Linked DNA regions of Drosophila melanogaster. The protein of the gene in region 2 interacts with the protein of the main gene of each other region in a pairwise test. Each region holds a gene or a part of one and is shown on either strand. Other genes may lie near its edges.

What was found. The genes of interacting proteins can lie anywhere in the genome.
Region 1: the proteins of CG31600 (region 2) and mgl interact in a two-hybrid assay, tested with the Drosophila melanogaster proteins (one large-scale study listed by BioGRID).

What each region holds. Positions count from the first base shown.
Region 1 is NC_004354.4:9,494,254-9,505,075, reverse strand, and holds the start of mgl (megalin), read left to right. Parts: upstream 1-4,946; 5' UTR 4,947-5,202; intron 5,203-8,886; exon of another isoform or gene 8,887-9,100; intron 9,101-9,176; exon of another isoform or gene 9,177-9,402; intron 9,403-10,822.
Region 2 is NT_033779.5:21,910,316-21,920,715, forward strand, and holds CG31600 (uncharacterized protein), read right to left. Parts: upstream 5,044-10,400; 5' UTR 4,988-5,043; coding exon 4,943-4,987; intron 4,884-4,942; coding exon 4,701-4,883; intron 4,652-4,700; coding exon 4,487-4,651; intron 4,434-4,486; coding exon 4,125-4,433; 3' UTR 3,954-4,124; downstream 1-3,953. Other genes in the region: CG11634 (uncharacterized protein), read left to right, coding at 6,090-6,986.

The DNA.
Region 1 (10,822 bases), on a different chromosome or scaffold from region 2:
TCCTAAATGAAATCACCTAAGATAATAAAATCTACTTTCTCTCCACAGGTTCCATTATCAATCGATTTCAAGTGAACACGCAACTCAATGTAATCAGTTTATAAAATAAAACAAAAAAACACATGAAATTAAATCAATATATTGTATATTCAGGAATTGATATATTAGTGAATAACTAGCGAGAACGAAAAAAGTGGAAAAAGAGCGACTTAAAAAATAACTATTTACTTAGGACCTAGTTACTCCTCATTTTTTTTTTTTTTTGGATGTTGTGTAGAACCGTCGTGAACCACCGCATGAAAGAAAACCACCAAAATGAAAACTAACTAATATATATATGTACAATCCCACAGACTATTTACCTATAGAACAGAATCCAATGCAATTAGAAAGTGGAAATCCTCAGGTGCTTTTCGAACTAGCTCGTTTTTCCATTTACCAGTTACCATTTAACCCTGATTGATTCAATCAACCAGCGCAATCAAAATTGAAAAGAATTGACAAATATACCATGGTACCTAAAAACAAAAATCAAGCAAAAAAAACCAAGCAACATTAAAACATTAGTGAAAACTAACTAAACAATGAAAATGAAATCTAGGCTAAGAGCAAAACGATTTATCGCCAAACCAGCAATAAAACGATGTGGAAATTCAACTATTTTTGAACTGGGCTGGCTGCTTGCCCAGCCCAGCAGGTCAGCCAGCCTTTAGTTCGAGTAGACCAGGCCCGAAATCCAATAACCCCAATTAATAATAATAATACTACTACATACATGACGAACAACTTGAGAATTTGATGATTTCTTCAATTTTATTTCGGCTTTTGTGTGTGTGTGGCATGTAACGTAGTGCAATTCGATGAAATCGAATATTTGGAAAAACTGTCTCGTTTAAAAATCATCTGAAAGTATTCATTCATATTTTGCAAACAGTACTTGTTCCTTCTTTTTTTTAGTGCACATATAATTGGTTTTTTAAATTTGCTAATATTGCACAATTTGTTTTATTTTCTTCTCTATAAAATTATAGGAAAAATGTAATTAATTTAGGTTTATATTTACAAAAGATTTGGGTATTATTTTTGCACCCTTGATTAAAAATGGAAATATGAATTGAAGAGATCGCCGCACTCTCAAGTCGTTGAAGTTTTCTTTTATATAAGTCTCGATGTTGTTGTTTCTCATAGAGTGTACACATAAACATAGGATATATGTCCTCGTCATAAATATATTTAGAATGTACATAACAAAATACTCGAATATTTAATTTACTCTCTGTGTTCCTCTATTCGAACCGGAAACGAGTTTGCGTCTTCTTAGCACTCCAGGAAAATGAAGGAAAATGCCCCAATTTTCAATATGAAATGGGTGGAGAATTAAAGAGACCCGTAACTAAAAATTTCCCTTTCCTCTAATTTGACCTGAGCAAAATGTCGCTGGACGACGAAGGAAAAATACAAAAGATGTGTGTAAAACAAAACTAGAGAATTTTTTTATTATTAAACATAGTCAAGGATAATCAACACGAGATGATGGAGAATTTGGATGATGATGGCAAAAATGATGATGAGAATGCAAGGATGTAAAAGATATATTTATAGAAATGAGCTATATGTATACATAATGACAGATTGATTATATGATTATATAGTAACTTATTGTCACAACGCAAGAGCAATCAATGTTTAACTTTATTAAATGTTACAAAGAGTTTTAAATATTAAATATACTTAATGAAATATATACAGATATACCTATATATTGCAGATTATATTCTATACATATAATTTGTAGGTGAAGCTGAGATGAAAATGAATAAAAAATACTAGTCGTACTCGTAGTTCGCCATTATGTTTGCCAAAAATCGGAGATAAATGTAAGAAAAGTTGTGTCAGCCATTGCAGAAATTCGAGGGAAATTATTGTATTTAGCAAAAGGTTTTCCAGAATCTCATAAAACTCCATTTGTAAATCTATTGTACCCGCCAAATAAATAATCGTGAACCACAATCCTTATATTCAAAATAAGCAAACCACAAAAGAAGAAATTTTGGAAAGGCACGGTTTGAAAAAAAAAACCGGGCTGGCACTCTTTCTAATTTTTTTTTTGTTAGCATTTATTTCAAAATCGTTATTTCTTGTGTCTTAGCAATAATAATATAATTAAAATGTGTGTGTCGCTCTGTAACTGTCTCTATTGTGTTTGAGATTACTCGTATCTTATAATGAATATTATTACTAAACTAAAGCAAAAGTAACAAAAAAAAAGAAAAGAAAAGTAAGAAAGCAAAAACGCAGGAGACGCGGAATGGAATCCACAACAGAAATTAAAATTACTAATTAAAACGATTACTTACAGTAGACTTAAGAATACAATGATTAAATAAAGAAAACGATTTCCTTACATTAACATTGGTGTAACATTTTTCGGAAAAGCTCTTTTGGCTTAACAGAAGTTGTTGAAGGAAATAGAAAAGCTTTTAACGGTCACTTTCCCAAGTCACAGTAACACTGCTTTCTGCAAAAGCTTAAAGCTTAAAAGTGTTAGCTTTTTGAAGCTGTTAAAAGTCGATATTATAGGTTTATTTTGGCTTAAACCAATAAACCAGAGTGAAATGCTGGCTAAAAGCTGTGGTCGTTTAAGCTTTATTTTTAAACGGATTTCCGTTTTTTTTGCTAAGCAAAGGTTATTTTTCCCCTGGGTTACGTGGAAAATAGCTTGTTGAAAAAATATAACATCAGTTAACCAACTTGTGTCGTGTTAACGTGTCAAACTTTTCCAATTACTCACATGCACTTGGGCTCACCCAAATAATTTACCTTATATCATATCCGTTGCATCCAGTTACATATCCGGAACAATAGTTAAACCAATTTCGAGATTAACAACACGATTAGTACGTATAGTTAATATCTACGTGGTTTCTGATTATTCAATAAATAACTTAGGAAATGTTATGGTTGGTGGGGAATTTCTTGAAATAAAAACTTTATTATTTTTGATATAATATTTAAACATATTTTGATGTATTGGCTTAAGTTAATAAGTTCGCATATAATTTGTGTAAGCCAGTCATTTATTTGAATTGCGATCAAGTGTGCAACCTTGGCGCACTGCCCCCCACTCGAGAACATGCTCTACGGCTGTTTAAACTTTGGAGATGGTTAATAAATTTATTTTGTTTATTTTCGGCCGGGTCACGCTTTCCCCAAATGACCCTCGTCATAAAACGCGCGAGAATCTCTGGGTAAATATAAATATAAGAATTGCACGCTTTGGTTTTTGTGCATGAAAAGTTTACTTCGCATTTCGGTTTCGGCCAATTGTTTTTCTTGGCCCTATCACCTTTCACTGCGAAATATGTCTAAACGAGAATGTTTTGTGAATCCATTAAGACGCAATAGAGAATTTTCCTATAGCTCGTAGAGCGTTCGGTGATGTCTCCGCAGCACTGGATTGGAAATGTATATATCTTTCTACTTGGCCACCTGATAGGCGAAACAGCTTTTCCCCTTCGAAAATCTCAAATTGTTCAATTCCGCTTCCAAGAATGCGGAACGGCCAGCAGGCGGTCAGGCAAAAGTTTTTAGGAGCCGAAACAGCTGTTCATTTGGCTGGTGACTGACTTGCTCTGCAATTAAAGCGATTTTTTTCGCGGAAGAAGGCCCTATTCGAATAGTTTGGATACACTCGAATTCTTGGGAGTAAATATTGAAGAACTTCTTCAAAATTCTCCTGCTCAGTTCTAAAACCAAAACAATGGGATTTACTTAGGTTCCGTTTCATATGTGTGTGAGTGTAAGCTTGTACTTGAGAACAAGTGCGTTTATTTTTAGCCGAGTATTGAATTAATTTTCGTACGGACTTGTAAAGGAGCTTACATTATTTTCGTAGAGCAACCTGGCAACCTGTTGAAGGGGCTTGCAACTCGAACCGCGTTCGCTGCCAGCATCGAGCACGTTGCACGTGGCAAGCAGCAATTGTGTGTTTACTCAATATTCTCGGCGTGCCGCAGATTGTGCCTTCCAGAAAGCAAAATAAACAAATAAAAGTTCCATGAAAAGGTATCATTTGTCAAGCGACAGCCGACAAATGAATACACATATGCATGTATGTATGTATGTATGTATGTCCTATGTACCCAACGACTTAGCGGCTTAAGTAGCTGCTCTAAATAATAAATTCAATTGTAATCAGAATCGTTTATGTAAATATTCAAATCGTCAATTTACCCGGACAGAGAGTGAGATAGAGAGAGTGTAAGAGTGTGACGTGGGGGGGGGGGGGGGTGGAATTGTCCTCCAATAATCCGCGAGGCAAGCAAAAGTCTGGGAGGGGGGGGGGTGGCAGGTGTAGATAAGCACCCCATTAAGACAACAATAAGCTCAACAAGTTGTTCTGGAAAACTGTCAATTAGAACCACCAACACGCACTGTGGCAGCAACAATTGTTCGAATGAAAACACAACATGCTGCATGTTGCACGCTCGAACATAGCCTTGCCATGGAATCGATGTTGCATCAGAGGTGTAGATGGGGGCTATTAGGAATTGCAGCGTAACTAAATAGTATTAGAACTTAAACGCAGAGCAGAGAACAAAGAAATGTGCACTCCGAAGCTGCGGAGTTCTCAAATAAAATGAAGCTAGCATTTTAGTAGAACTATTACTTGCTATTAAGTATGTACAATAATCTCAATAATAAGAACTAAATAATAATAATGAATTGGTTTGATGATGAAGCAAGCTCCTTGGGCAGTCATGAGCATACCAATGCAATTCTTTCGCTCTCGAAAGCGGCGCCTCTGTTTGAAGTCGCACTGCCTGTGAGTAGCGGCTGCAACGCAACATGTTCGATGGTTCGATGGTTCGAAGGTTCGATGCCTTCGGTTTTGGTTGGGCGGCGAGTGGGCTGCGCTAGCATCCGCTGGTCAGTCGCTCGCGGAGCGTCGTCGTGAACGGTCAGCCAGCGCGGCTAATAAGTAACCAACTGTAGTGACAGTGCGATAGTGACTCTGATCCGAACCCGAATCCCAGGCCCACAACAGATACGTCCAGCGTGTGGGCAGCCAGAACAGAGTGACAAGAATATCGGAGCCGACAACAACAGTAAACTGAAAGATAGAAAGAAAGAAAGAAAGGCCAACCTGCCGATTAAATTCCAATTGAGTGTTACGAGTTTTTTTTTCGAGTGAGTGCGGCGGTAAATATTTCGATCTTCTTCCCTTTTTTTTTTTTTTGCTGTGCCACCAACAGAAACCGAAAAATGCAAAAATTAAAAACCAATCAGTGAAAATCGCCAAAATTGCCAAAATATCAAATAGAAAAATATGGAAAATAGTTGAATCGAAGAAACGCAGACCGCAAAAATTTATAGAAAGAAAACAAACACACAACACACACACAAAGAAAAAACAAAAGGGGCAGACAGAAAGAAAGCGCTTTTATTATTTTATTTAACGATTTTTCTTCTTGCAATTTTTATTTTGCACACTTTGTTGTTGGGTCAGTCAGTTGGCGGCTTTCGCCACTTTACGAGCAACTTCCTTTTTTGGCCGGAGAAAAACCAGTCTGGCCAAGAGACCAAAAGACCCCTGGCCAAAAGACGTCGGTCGGTGGGCACCAAACACTGCGAATGTAAACAAAACAGCAGCAAACCGTATTTGTTTATGACTCGGCTTGGCCAGGATAAAGCCCAGAGACTTTGAGACCAACTAAATCCCACACCCCCAACCGCCAATCCCGCCCTCACCAAAAATATGATTTGCTAGCATTTCCCCCCATTCCCCGGCCGAGATTCTCAAGTGCGAGAGTTGCAAAAAAAAATGTGGTCCCCCCTCCCCCCTTTTATTGCCGCACCGCGTTGAAACGACACCCGGTGAAAGTTTCCCAGTCGCAACTTAGAACTCTCTTCATTTTCGGGTTTCTTTATTTTTTGCTTGATAAATGAGTCGCTGGCATAGCCCCCGGGGCGGTAAATCATCTCTGCTTGTGGCACTGACAATTTCACAAATTTATATATTTGCCACAACAACCGACCGAAACACTCACAGTCGAAAGTTTTCCACTTCGAGTGCAAATTTGACTGGCTTGGAAAAGTCCAGGCGAGCAAATTGGCCAGAGGTGTTGCCAACGAAAAAAAAAAAAAAAAATGAATTGGTAACGAAAACAATTGACGAAATCGGAAGTGACAGCATGATAGTTCAAGTTCAAACACGCATAATAACTTCATTGAAAACTGTAAACTTGAGAGTAAACAATAGTTTTCAAAGATTTCACGAAGTGTCTTCAGTTCAGCATATTAAATATACCCAAATACGGTTTCAAATTGACATAGATTAGTAATTTAACATAGGAACAGTTAAAAAAGTTAACCAGCTGGTGTGATAATATCTATGAAATTGTTGGTTTCTGGAACTTGAGAGATTCGCAAGTTCTAGCAAGCAGCGGTTGTTAATGCATATGAATACGAGACATCGAGCAATTTCGAAGATATTCCACGCCAGTTATCGCCCCCCCCGCCAGTAACTGGAGGCCAGCTCTAGCTCCCATTTTTAACTGGTTACCCCGCTCGAGAATTCACCATGTCGGCTCTCGGTTTTTTCCTTCGCTTTTCGCTTACTCCACACAACACAAATCGAATTGAATGGCAATCTGGAATATGCCAGGCAGATCCAATTGCATGCCACATATGCAGATGTAATGGGAGAGTTGGCCCACTCGCCACCCCCTTGTAAGCCCCCATCGAAACACCAACACACCCCCCCCCCCCCGGCCGCTTACAAAAATTAAGCCCCCTTAGCCGCCCCGCCAACTGTACCGCTGATCTGCTTGCCTCATTGCCGGTTAGAAAGCCAATGGAACGAGTTTCGTTGAGTGTGCAACTAATTTTCTAAATTGTTGTCGCTGCTGATCGTTGAGCGTGGCAAAAAAAAAGTAAATAAATAAAAAATACACACATTATTTATATGGCCAACGTCGCACAAAGAAATTATCTGTCACCAACATTGGTCATCAATTTTGATGGGTTTTCGGCGTCTAGAATAAGCCCTTTTATCACTGACGTTTTAATCAGATCTCTTCTTCAGAAGTATACAAAATCACGGTATGATCTTGCTTGAAGATGATTTCATTTTGCTAAAACGTGTTTTAATTCACTTTTAAATCATGAATCATAAATATAGGTATTTATGTGACTATTTTATATAGGGTAATACGATAATACAGAATCGTATATACGTACGTACTTTTGTAAAATAAAAAAAATTTAAAAACGGAATAATAAAATGTATATTTATGGAAATTTTTGAACGATGGCATATTTAAATAGATAAATAATTATGAGAGTGTGGGTGATAAGGCAAAGATTTTAGATTCAAAACCATCCATTCATCATTGCGAAGATCGAACTGTCATTTTTGCGATTGATTGATTGAATTTTAATAAAAGTCTTTGAAGTCGGACTTATTTATTATTTTTTTTTTTTATTGGGTTTTTCTTCTCTTGCGAGTGCGTCGTCATCATTTAATGGTGAAGATAGAAGAAGAATTATCCGAGCCCATAGAAGGCGAAGAAGAGGAAGAAGACAGGGCTAAAGAGACAGAGCGAGAAAGAGAGTAGGAGAAAGGGAGAGAGGGATAGAGAAATGTTAATGGATTAGGAAGCGAGCTCAAAAGGCAGCGTAGAAGAAGAATCGAATCTCGGCTACTTGCGACATTAGCCCTCTCCCTCCCACTCCCGCCCGATGAAGGCGGGCGCGAAAGAGAGGGGACGAGAGGGAGAGCGAGAGCGGAATTGAATGGCCAAAGGAAAGGTGAAAAGAGGCAACTTGGCTTAGACGATGATGATGACTGTTTCTTCTGTTTGTGTACGTATGTGTGTGTGTGTGTGCGGACAAACAGGTATCACGCACACACCTACAGACACACTCACACCTGTGCGGAATAACTAAGCAGCGACCCGATTTTCAACAGAGAGCCAGTGAGAGAGATAAGAAGAGAAGAAACAGAGCCAAGAATCCGATCCATGCCATGCGCCTAAAACTATTACAAATCTATAACAAATCTACCACGAATCTACAAACCACAAGAGATCTTTTCACAGATCAATTTTATTGGGATTATTCAAAAATTTCCAGTTTCTGTAGTGGGGTGATTAAAGGAACCTGCATATATGTTAAATGTTTCAAGTCATTTCATTTCATTTTTATTTTAATATTTTAAATCACATTTCTTGTGACACGTGTTACTTCAAAGATTATCCATCAATGTAATTTGTTGATAACTTATCTTTTACATTAGACAATAAAATAAATTGCGTTCCATTTAACAATCAAACGATTTGGTAGTAAAAAGGTATGAAACTCCAACGATATTATGACTACGTTTTCGTTTTGAATAGATAAAAGTGCTTCTGTTAGCTTTCTGATTCTTCTAATTAGTTATTTCAATTCCGATTGATGGAGTTATATTCTTAGGCTCTGCCTTGCATACATAGTATATCTCTAAGCTACATATATATATATAGGCCGAAAACCAATATGCAAAAACCAGAAACAAGTAGTCTTCATATGTAAAACTCTGTTCTCATTAAGTTCTGGACAGGTCATAATGATGTTTCGCCCCGTGTCGTTCCATCGTTCGCTCTGTCTCTTGTGTACTTGGATAAAATAAGATTTTTTTTGTGATTTTGCCGGTTGCCACACCTGAAATTCAGCTCTCTCTCCCTCTCTCTCTCTCTCTCGCTTGCGCCAACGCAGCAGCAGCAAGAACAAGAACGACCAAAACGAAAGACTTAAACGACATACGTGTCTCGCGCTGACGTCGCCGCTCTCTCTCTCGCTCTTTCTCTCATCCTCTCTCGCTCTCTGATTGCTGTGTTTTTTTTTTCAGTTGGTTTCCAAAGGCGCGCCGTCGCAGTTCGAAAACCGCGGCTCTCGCCAGCAAAATAAAAAAAAAAACAACAGCAATTTAATTTAAATAATTACAAAAGAGTCTATTTAAGAAAAAACCTTCTCGAAGAAAGGCAAGAAGAAAAATGGCGCGCGTTCAACAAAGAGAAAATTAGAAACGAAAACGATTTTTTTTTCAAGTGCTGACAAAGTTTGTGTTTTGTTTTCTTTATTTTTTTTGTTTTTGTGTTTGCCCTTTTGCCTGTTTCGTTTTCGGTGTTTCTGTTTTGGTTCTGTTTTTTTTCCATATTTTCTCTATTTTACCTGTTGCATTGGCCTGCCACCAACAACAACAAGAAGAAAGCAACAACAAAAGGATATATTAAGAAAATTTGTAAAGAAAAGTGCCAGCACAAGGATTTTTGCTCTCTCTCTCGCACGATGCTGCTCTCTCGCTCACGCTCGTTCTCTCGCTCTCTGTCTGGATTACGCTCTTCTTTTTGCCAGTGACAGGTAAGCAAAAACAATAACAACCAGAAAATCAGAAAAAAGAAAAACAATTTTCTTGTAATTTTAATTGGAAAACGTGTTACGTTGCACACACAAAAATGTGGAAAACCACCGAAGAAAATCGTTTGAAATTTTTTTTTTTAGACAAACGAAGACATGTGAACCAGAAAAAGAAGAAGCTGTCTCTTGCCGGTCGAGCGGTAAATTAAGTTGTCCCAATCCCCCACACACGACCGCCCCTCCCCCCCATCCAATAGCACTAACTGGCACTCTCTGGTACTTTCTGTACCATCTGTAACTCGGGCTCGGAACGTATTCAATTAGCCAGTTTTGGTATGCAGCATTCTTTTGAGCTACCGAATATATAAGCACTGTGCTTTTTAAGAAAAACTCTTTTTATAGCCAGCCAACTCGAATTTTCCACATGCAACTGGTCAAGGCGAAATATTAATGAGTACAGAATACTAATCAGTAAATATTTTTTCACACCAATACAAGATTTTAGTAACAGCTGTCGAATGATTTCCAGTAGCCATTTATAATGGGTAGATTTTAAAGCTGTTGGTTATGCGTATCCTTTAAATCCTTTAGAAATCCTTTAACATCTTTTAAAGGTATCCTCAAGTCGCTTCTTAAAGGCTCTTTTTAACTTGTGGTTGTCTTTATGCTTAGTTTTGTGCTTCCCGTAACTTTAGTGGGATTCCCCTTACGCTCATCAACTAGCTTGTTGTTAGAATGCGTTTTCTGCGCTTTCCACTTTGGCCCCACCCCCCTTCCGGGTTTTCCGACCCTTTGACGCCGCCAGGAACTAACTGATTTTCCCCCTTTCGTTCTGTATCATTGCCTTTGCTTGTTTCGCCGTCCCTTTCCGATGGCAATGCATTTAGAACCAGATCTTATAGCATTTTTTAGTGGGGGAGCCAGCATCTTGCTGTCCTCCTTTGATATCTTCCCTCTCGTTCGCACTGTGCGTATGTGTGTGTGTGTGTGAAATGTTTTTGTTGTTTGTTGCCGCTGATTAAATTGTTTGAGAACTTTCGTTTATAATTTGATGTACCATCCACCGCCCCACCCGCTTGAAAAGTCGCCACCCACACGTCGACTTTCGCCCGGAAAATTTCACCCACCACCCACCGCCCGCCGTATTTAGTTTCATTTCTGTGTGCAATTAGGCAGCATTTATCTCGTTTAAATTTGCGGCAGTTTACGAAGCTCAGCGGGTCCCGCTTATCACAAAAACCCAAACAAAGCACAAAAGATACGTCGACGGGGTACACAAAGCAAAAAGTAGGTTCGTTCTTGGATTGAAATGCATATTAAATATACAAGCCTAAAATTAGAACACTCTGGAAATAATAGTTTAATCATATAGTTGATATTTTGTTAGCTGTGTGAAAGAAACAATTCTTTACAACAATGGGAA
Region 2 (10,400 bases):
CTTTAAATGCTTGCGATATTGTCAATCAAAAATCAATCGAAGTCATGAATCATGCCAAACGGAGGAGACGGTAATGGTTATGCTGATGTCTCCAGAGCACCTCTGAGTCACTCGATTGACTGATAGACGGATGGGTGAATGCAGTGGCACCGAGTAAAAAATACAGCGACGGGAAAGGATGAAATGAAATCAGTCAATGCAAGGATGCGTGTTGAAGGATGGCCGGGATAGCAGGAGTGGTCGGAGCTGGATATGCGACAATTGGAGGAGGCGAAGCATTTAACATTGGCATCTCGGCTATGAAATGGAACCCAATGGAATGTCATTCCTCCCTCCCGAGTCGACGTCATCAGTCAATGTCAGCTTGATAGTTTTGACATTTTTATGAGCAAATGATAAGTCTCACTCTGATGGCTGCCTGTCTGCGATGGCCAGTGTTTGACACTTGCCAGCCACAAAATATTTGCGAGCACTCATCCGCACAGCCCGGAATTTCGTACGAGCCACTTGAGTTCTTTCGTGGGTGCCTGTATTTATGACCGGGGCTTCATATTATCGCACACGATGTGTATATTTTTAAATTTAGCACTGACAGAGTTCACAAGCGTGTGGTCCTCCTTTCGTCGTCAAATCGGGAACTGCAATCAATCAATGTGATTTTATAGCCACCACCCCAACACTCGCAATCATTTGTGGTATTCTGAATCATTTACGGGCTTAACGATTCACTCTGGCAAAAAATCTATAAGCCCGATACTAAGAGTAGCAAGTGATGCCTTACGGGGCCAAGGGTCTGAAAAGGTTTTGGTTTAGGAATTCCGTGCTGGTTTCTCTTATTTGGAAACCATGAACTAGTACAGTTTGCATTAAATTAAATTGCAGCTATTCAATCTTAACTATTCATACCGATTTCGAGAAAGATTTCAAGAAAACTATGTCATGGAATGAGGGAAGCTATTCATACCCTATAGATTACATACGATCGATCGCATAATTCTGCGTACATCCCAAAAATAATTAAATGTAAACTTTAATCACAACTGGTTTTTAACCCATTTCGTAACTTAACTTTAATTTAATGTCTTCGTTAATTAAATCGTCTTTCAGATTTTTCAACAAATAAATAGACTGTTTTTAAAAAATACTTTGGGTATAGAATATAAATAGAATAAAAACTTTCTTATGTATCCTCCGCACTTATTATACTCCAAACCTCCAAAATGACATCATTCCGCTTTCTTTAAGTTAAAGTGTGTTTTTAAATTTTTCTTTCAAGAAGATCTCACAAATGCTTGATATGATTGAGATCAGGACTCAGGATTTTTAAATTTATACAGCAGCCATCGTTCTCGATTCAATGCAGTGTGCTTTGGGTCATTCTCTTGCTGAAGCCAATATATGTACATTTTCTATCCCCAATTTTTCAGCACTTGTTTTTATACCCATTATGTAAGTATGTAATGGGCAGAAGGAAGCGTTTACGACTATGTAAAGTATATACAGCTGTGTTAATAAAAGTATCAGTGCTTTGGACCTGAGAGTTTAAGATAAAAAATTCTTATGAATTACAGTTTTAATGGGAAATTTTTTTTTTTATAATATCTTTAGGTATTTCATTTCAAACAATTCAACAAATGTTTCACTTTTATTTGTTCAATAGTTTCGATAATATAGATTAAAGCAACATAAAAGGCAGAAATTCTGGTGTTCAATGAAATAGCAGTGCTATGAAAAAACCGTAACAAAATTCAAATTGACCTAGAACTAACATAGTTTTCCTTTTGAATACGTTAATTAGGGCCTAATACTTGGTTGGATAGCCTTTGTTAGCCAGCACAGCCTTACACCCACGCGGCATTGTTTAATGTCCCCCCACAGATTTTCAATAGGGCTTAAATCGGAAGATTGTGCTGCCCACGGCATTGCATCTATTCTATTTTGGGTGAACCTATTCTTAACCGATTTGCTTCTGCGTTTCGGATCATTATCCTGTTGGAATGTCCATTTTAAGGGCATATTATATTCAGAATATGACAGTAAGACATCAATAAGTATATTTACATCTGCGTTTTGGTCTGTAATACCATAAATCATATGTTATGGACTCATACCATTGTAAAAAAAACAAGCCCATACCAGGATTTTAGGTTCACCGTGATTGAAACTCTTCACTGGGTGTTTTGGGTGGTACTCGGTGTTTGGAGGTCGTCAGATATACTGTAGTGAACCAGTTCCACCAAATATCACTATTATTGACCTATCAGTCTAAAGGATATTACACCATTTGGAGACTGGCCAGTTTAGGTAGGTTTTAGCGAAGTTTCACATTGCCTTAATATGCCTTGGGCTAAGTACGGGAACCTTTCTGGGACTACTCGCAATTAAATTTCGATTAGGTAGTTATCACCGAATAGTAACGTCACTCAGCTCAGACTTTATCTCCCTAGGGGATGCAAAAGGATAGACTTTGGTACCACGGTTTTCGGCTTCCATTCATATTTAATGGCATTGGATACCATTTTGGCAGAATATTCAGGGGTTTTTTGAATGTCCTTGTATGTTTTTCCTTCCTTTCTTAGCTTAAAAATTAACATTATTTTCTCCTGGGAGCAGTGCTGTCCTCTACCCACTAAAATAATTTTTTTTAAATTATTGCCCCTTTAAATACGCGAATTAACTTAACCAAACTCACTTTTTTTTAGAAAATATTTATAATTTCGGGACTTTACGTTGGTCAAAACCAGACACTGCTATTCTTATGAACAGTCTAAAACTTGTGATTTTGCTCAATGTAATGTAAAATGTAAATAAAAAAAGGATAACATGAAAAACTAGCCGTGTAGTGCGTAATAAGTGTACGTGTAAAAAAGAGTCGAGTCCGAAAAGGGACTTGGAAGAATACCTTTGTATTACTCAGTTTCCTTCGCACTGCTATTTTTCTGAACACAGCTACATATATTTTTAATCAAGATCAATAGCCGAGTCGATTTGGCCATGTCCGTCAGTCCGTATAAATGTCGAGATCTCAGGAACTATTAAAACGAGAAGTTCGAGATTCAGCATAAAGATTGTAGAAACAAAGACGCAGCGCAAGATCGTTGACCCATGTTGCCACGCCCACTCTAGCGCCCAGAAACGGCATAAAAATGCCACGCCCAAACTTTTGAAAAATGTGTTTATATTTTTTCACGTTTTTATTAGTCACTTATTAATATTGAACAATATTTCGATTTCCGAATCGGTCATTTTATTTCCCAATATCTATCGATATCCCAGAAAAATGATGCACTTTCGCGTTCGTATACACACTAGCTGAGTAACTAGTATCTCACAGTCGGGGAACTCGGTATATCCGAGCATTATCTCTTGTTTTTAAAATATCTCTTTAGCGGGGTATTAAATAATAAAGAAAATTCAATTTGTTTTAAATTAATAGAAAGCACTGTTCATACATCTACCTTAGGTCACGCCTTCGTTCATGCATTTTCCACAATTGATTTCCTGATATTATCTATATACATTTTTAAACCAAAAAAGACAATAAATTATAATTTGGAAAAGCAAACCGGTACATTTTCAGACCAATAATAACGGTATGGAATTGTCAAAAATGTGTACGTTTTGCTTAATGTGAATTGTTTTTCCATTCCGAAAGTTTATTTTGCCTTCTAATACTCACTTCCGTTTCCGCTGCACAAGACCAAAGTGTGTTTCCGCTACCCTATTACCACTCCATTCGCCATTTGAAACTTTTTTCGTACTCATCGAACGAATTATAACAAAACCAATTTTCCATGACAAAAAGACAACAGGAAAAAACCAAATTACAAATCAGACAATTAAATACTCATACTCAATACTCGCAAAATGTTTGACATTTATTAATTAAAAATAGGATAAACTGTATATTAATTTTATTCAAATTGTCATCGGCAATAAAAGACAGCTTATTTCAATTTATTTCTTTGTTCCATTTCGATTTGTCATCTACATATTGTATGCAATACAGTGGCATAGATTAAAACAATACAAACATTACAAGAAACTGCATTTAGTACTCAAGAATGGTTACATGGTAGTGTATAGAGTAGTAGTATTTGGTTAGGGTTAATAAGGCTAATGTTTCAAAATGTGTTTTTAACTAAATCTATTAGTACCGCAAGCCCGTGTGTAATAACTCTTTTATGTTTCCTTTCGCCGATCAAAGAAATACATTTCTTCAAAAGCGTTGCAGCAAGAATAAGTAAAATTACCAGTTCCACAAAAATAGCCAATCTGAGCTGCAAATGACTTATATGTTGTATCGGCATAAAAATGTTTTTAACAAAGTCACTGCAACCTTGGGTGATAAGGTCGGGATGGTAGCAGTGGGTTGGAACCCCTTGTAGATAATCCATATAAGAACGGGGACCCTCCAGTCCACAGCATAAAACCTGTGAAAAGCAAAACCCTTGAAAGGGCAAATGAGCAAAGGCATAACACATACCGCATTTTCAATCGAAGGCCAATCTGTCTCGTTAAAATTGGAGTATGCCAGCCATTTAAGGTTTAAGCTATCCATGAATGTACTATAGCTCCTGTTCATGGCTTCTAGTTGTTTTGAAATTGTGAAGTAAGTCCAATGAAGGACGAGTATCTGCAGCGGTATAAGCTAATTTACAATTATCAACCTCACGTTTTTTTTTTGGTAAAGTCCTTACCCCGAGAACAAGCCAATCATCACGCAAATTGGCTAAGTATAGGCTGACCAAATTCAGGCAAATGGTAATGGAAACGGTACTTGTTAGAAAATTAAAACAGTTAAGCACATTAATGGTTATTTCAGCGCTTTTAAGTCGCAGAGTAAAGGGTATAATTACTCGAAATAACACAGCCAATACAAGCTAAGTGTAGAAAAGTTGTCAGTAAAAACTTGAAGACGGGCTGCTGATTAAATACTTACCCCAAATAAAATAGCAGTTAGCTTTTTTATCATGCCCTCTACCATTTTGAGAATTATTTTAATATACGTAGCTCAATTTTATTCTACGCAAATTGACAAAATATTCGAAGCTGGAAATAATGGCCTACCACATAAATTCAAATTTTTGTTTTCCCAATTATGTATGTATACGAAATCACGCAGGTTTTTCTATTTGTGTTTCAATTCCTTTTTTCTGGCAAAATTTCATTGTTGATTTATGGGATTTGCTATTTTTGACAGTTGTTTTTGCTACAACGAATGAGAGTGTGTGCGATAACTGTTTGTAGGTATAAACATGATTTTATAATCGGCTTTCTATATTAATTTTAATTTTATTTTCGGCATTTTATTATAATTACTCTTGATATATGTAAATGGTCATCGTTAGCAAAATTATCATTCCGTATATGGCTGTATTGTTGCTGCACTTGATGTCCACATGGATGTCCCTCAACTCGTTAGGAAATTTACTACGCACTTTTTGTTGTGGGTTTTCAGTTCGCCAATGGGCCATGCGAAAAAATATTTCTGTGGCTTTAAATATTTTAATTGTCGCTGTTGGCTCTGTTCTGTTATTTCATAATCGTATGCTCTTTGTTGTAAGTCAAAAAGGGTGTAGTTCGAAATGCACAATAAAAATTGTAATATTTTGGCAAAATATTTATAATTATTAATGCTAATTTCAACAAATCCAATGCATTTCTGGCATTCTATTTGGACGATGGCTAAATACTTTGGTGTTTTGTATCTGTTTGTGATATTTTAATTTTACTGTCGCATTTGATCATAAATTAAGCGATTAACAAATAAGGGGCACCGTGGGTTATGGGTGCTCTTTTGAATTCCCTCGATGTGGCAATGGATGGAAGGGGCCAGTAAAACTATATTGCTTTTGATAAATGCCGATGGTTAGGACTCAGAGTGCGCCGCATTGAGCGGTTTAGTACTTAGTACTCAAGTGATATTAGAATTCCTGGTAGATTAAAAAAAATAACAAAATAATTGAAATATGAAAATGTGTCAGAAATGTTTCATTTAATCATATCCAATCGCGTTTGCCATTCAAATAAATCTCAAAATATATAAAAACAAATTTTTTACATTACAGTGAAGTTTTTGATAAGCCATGTTCGATACAACTAAATACTTTCCGCGTTCAGTTGATTCCGAGCATCCGTCCCAGTCGGAGCACAATGAGTCCTTGTCACTGGATCATGTCGTCACCTACGATATGGTCCATAACCCGGAGGGAAGATCACCTGATCACAGTGTCATCGAAATGACATCGGAAGCTGACCGGCATATAGGACACGATGTCACTTCATCTCCCCAATTGATGATTATATTTGAAGAAGGCGACATCAACAGTGCACTGCACTTTATTATTGAGTCGGTTCATAATCCCTTTGCCTCGAATGCGGTGGCCATGGTTCTGGTTGAAGAGAAAATTCGCGGGGAGATCGTCGAGCGAATCCTGTCTAAGCTACATCCTCTTAGTAAGTTTGTGGCCGAACATCCTAGCTATCTGGCAGCACTGGAGAAATGCCACACCTCCAACTTTAACATAATAAGGGCCTGCATTTCGGAGGTTGCCCCACCAATGGCTTCACCCATTTTTGTGTGTGACTGTACGCACGATAAGCTGGGAAGTTACCCAACTGGAGTAGTAACATTTCACACATTCCGCAATAACCAGGAGGCCATTGCCATAAGTCAGTGCGAATCGTTGGCCTTCGCATCCGTCTCCATTTGGAACGAAACGCTAACTGGATGCTACGATCTCGTGGCGGCCCTCAGCTCGTCCTATTTTTTTCTAAACTGCGCCAACGTTGACTTGTCGCCAATTTTAAAGCCACACAAGGCCCAGAAAAATTACGTGGTAGTTGAAAACGGCTTTCACTTCGAAACCCTACGTATCTATGACAATTTCAAAGCCATTGTATTTCCCATTGGCGGACAAATATTGCCAGACATCGAGGATCACAAGGAGGAGCACGCAGCTATCTTCTTTTTGGAAGCTTAGTATTGGAATGACTTCCACGACTTCCCCTTTCATCCGATTTCGCAAAAGTGCTTGGCAGATTCAAAATTTAAAGTTATTTTGGGTGTTTTTATGGTTATTAACGTTCATGATGCGTGCCAATATACAATGTAAGTGCAGCTGTCAGCGGTAATAACAATATTTCTTTTCTTCCGGATATTGACTTTTTGGGCGTCTTAATGAACGCAGGTTTTTTGTATATAGGTTGCGAATTAATTCGACACAGCGTGACTAACTGTGTATTCGATTTTTTTAAATTTTATTGGGACATTGAGAAATGGTAAAATGTTGGTCTGTTATCTTTTCGCTTAAATATTGTTTTGTTTATTCGTGCCGAACACTGTAAGAATGTTTTCTAGCTCTGCAGCCGATACTTATATTCAACTTGGCAATCTGATACTGGGCATGACCGAATAAATTTACGATCGCACAGCATTCCGGAGTCACCACAAGCATCTGCCCCATAAAATCATTTTCTTTATGGGAGTATGATGAGCGTATGAGTGACGCCAAGTCGTCGCTTTTGGGCACTTAAGGTCTGAATCCAAAAATAAAGCCCGCTCGTCAGTGTAATTATCAGTTTTGTGTGTTTTTCTGCCTTGGAATTTATTCCCCATAAATCTCCCGCATGTATCTGGCCCAATAAGGGGGAAAGGCTTATCAGGTGCAGTCACACCCTCCTCTGGGCAGCTCATCCTTCCCAGGGCGTTGGGAAATTCATTATAAAATGCGGTTTGAATTATTTGTCAAAATGTCTGGTCCAGGACGCAGTGACATTGATGTTGACATTGACAGACAGACTGGGTCGAATGTCCCCGACAGACCAAGCCCAACTCACTCGCCCGATGTGACAAAATAAATGAAATTGTTAATGGCCAGTGAGTCACCGAGTTTATCGAGTTGGTAGCGTCATTATTGTCAGCTGCATCAGGACCTGTCCGACGGCCAATAAAGTCTTTTAAAATAGACATTTTATTGGTGAATCCATCCAGTGAAAACCCGAAATGGTCGATTGTCGCCATACAATTCAGCGAATCTAACATACCCTAATATTCCCAGAGCATCAGGTGACAAATTTAACATCAACATATTTAACATATACATATTTAATAGCCTAAAGGGGCAACAAATCAAGTTTGAGACTTATACAAAGAAAAATGTAGCTGGTAGGTGAAATGCATATGTTGCCTTTATTAAAGCCCAAGCTTTGATCCATATTCAGTGATCGTTGGAGCTTCCCATTAAGACATTTGAAGACCCATCTAGTACACCCATATTCAATGCAAGTCACTGCCTTCCGAGTCTCGAGTTAACTGTCAGTTTCAATCGTGTCTGCAGAACTTGTCACTCATTCAATAGTTTTGAAAATTGCGAATGTCACTTACAACCCAACAACAAGAGCCACTGCCTTGCACTTACAGCTCCCTCTTTTCTCAGGCACATGTGTCTGTGAGTGAGCATCCTTGCCAAGGATGCGGACTGAGACAATGTTGCCGGAGACGGAGAAGGATACTGCCACGAAGACAAAGTCGAGTCAGAAGGATGACGCGGCAGCAGACGCTGTGAATTAAAACAAGGCCAGAGAATAAAATAATAAAAGAACACGAAGACAAAGCATAAGAAAACTTGAATGTTCCCATACCGTTCCAGCCTCTCGTGTTTGTGTGAGGTTGACCCATAATAGAGAAGGGTTTTGGGGCCACTACACGGAAGAAAATATATGAGCCCTGAAGTCTAGTTTCTTTTTAATATGCTCATCTATACATACACATGCAAATGTATGTGTAAGTCTGAGATTTTAGTAGCGAAATATAGAAAATATCTAAAATACATTATAAAACCCTAGTATTTCCATCTATTTGTGTGTTAAAAAGGCTATAGTGAAGTATTTAGTTAAATTAAGACTACCTGGGCTATTAGATATCCGTTGCATAGCGACTCATTCTTTGAGTCAGTATTAATATAGAATTTATTTATTATAATTTTTATTGTAATTTTATTTTATTTAGAAGGATCAATCTTATATAATATTACTTTTTTCGCTTTTAATTCTAATTAAGTTAGTTAATTAAGCAAATTTTCATTTATTATTTAATTTGTTGTAATTAAGCAACAATAAGTCTTTGTGTTCTTAAGTCTAATTTAGTTAGTTACTTAGTTGGATAGTATTTTTTTTTTAATTTATTAATGCTTAATTAATTTTTAGCAGTGCGCTTGCGAGTGCAGTCCCTCCTTCCCTCACCCTTCCACGTTGCACTGAAAACGGGACAAACATGCACGCATCAAAATCAGACTTGTAATCCAAGTGCAAGTTCCGAATCCAAAAATCCATCCATCGCTTGCAGAACATCCTTCACCGAGGCTCCTCGCTCCCCTGCCCTCGTCCTGCCAGGATAGCAAGCAAGTAAGCAGGAAAGCAAGAAAGCAAGCAGGAAAGCAAGAAACCAAGCTGGCATCCAGCAAGCTCGCAAGTCGGGAGGCGGGAGGAGTTGGAAATTCGCTCGCCTGGTGTCACGTAGAATAGACATACAGACATGCAAGTGACAGACAGATGGAGAGACACTGTGACACGACACATTGACTGACAGCTGCAGGGATGCCAGTGGGCGTGGGCGTGGGCGTGGGCGGTTGCGTTGCCAATGGGGCGTGGCAGGTCTAAGAGGCTGCCACTGGGGTTGCAAGGATTTTGTGCAAGAAGTGGCGTGTGCAAACAAAACCGAAAGACAAAAGCATTGATGGACATGCACGGGGCTGCAGGAGAGCAGAATGAATTCCATCTTCCATCGCCGGTCAATGGAACAGTTTCCTTAGTCAGCATCTCCGTGGGGCATTTAATTTCAAAAGGATTGTTCGACGACTGCAAGTTAAAGAGGGGAAATGTTCAGGGATCTGAGAACATACTCGCTATCAATTCCTTTAAGGTCTTTTACGTTTTCCTCGTATCGTGATAGTAAGAAAAAAGTCCCCGAAATTTGTTAGATTTCCGATCCCGACATTTGCGAATCAATTTTTGAGGGCTTTAATTATTTCAATATTAGAATACAGAAGACCTTAACAATGCATTATTGAAATACCCATAAAATTAAAGCGAAAATGTGAATATTGTAAATTGTTGTATTGATGTAAAGCTATCATAGATATCATTGTGCACAAACGTATTGGCGTTTCATCTAATAAACGATTTTTAATTTAACCTTGACATCCATATGTATATTCGTCTAACGGCATCTTGTCTAGAATGACAAACATAATTTTTAAAACGTTTTATTAGATTTTATCCAAATGACCCATCCCCGGAACTTCTAGCTCCCGTCAACAGAAAAAAAGTACGGCTTTTATTGAGAGCTCAAGTGACGAAACCTTAGACGAAGGCAAATCATGAGACCACAGAAAGGA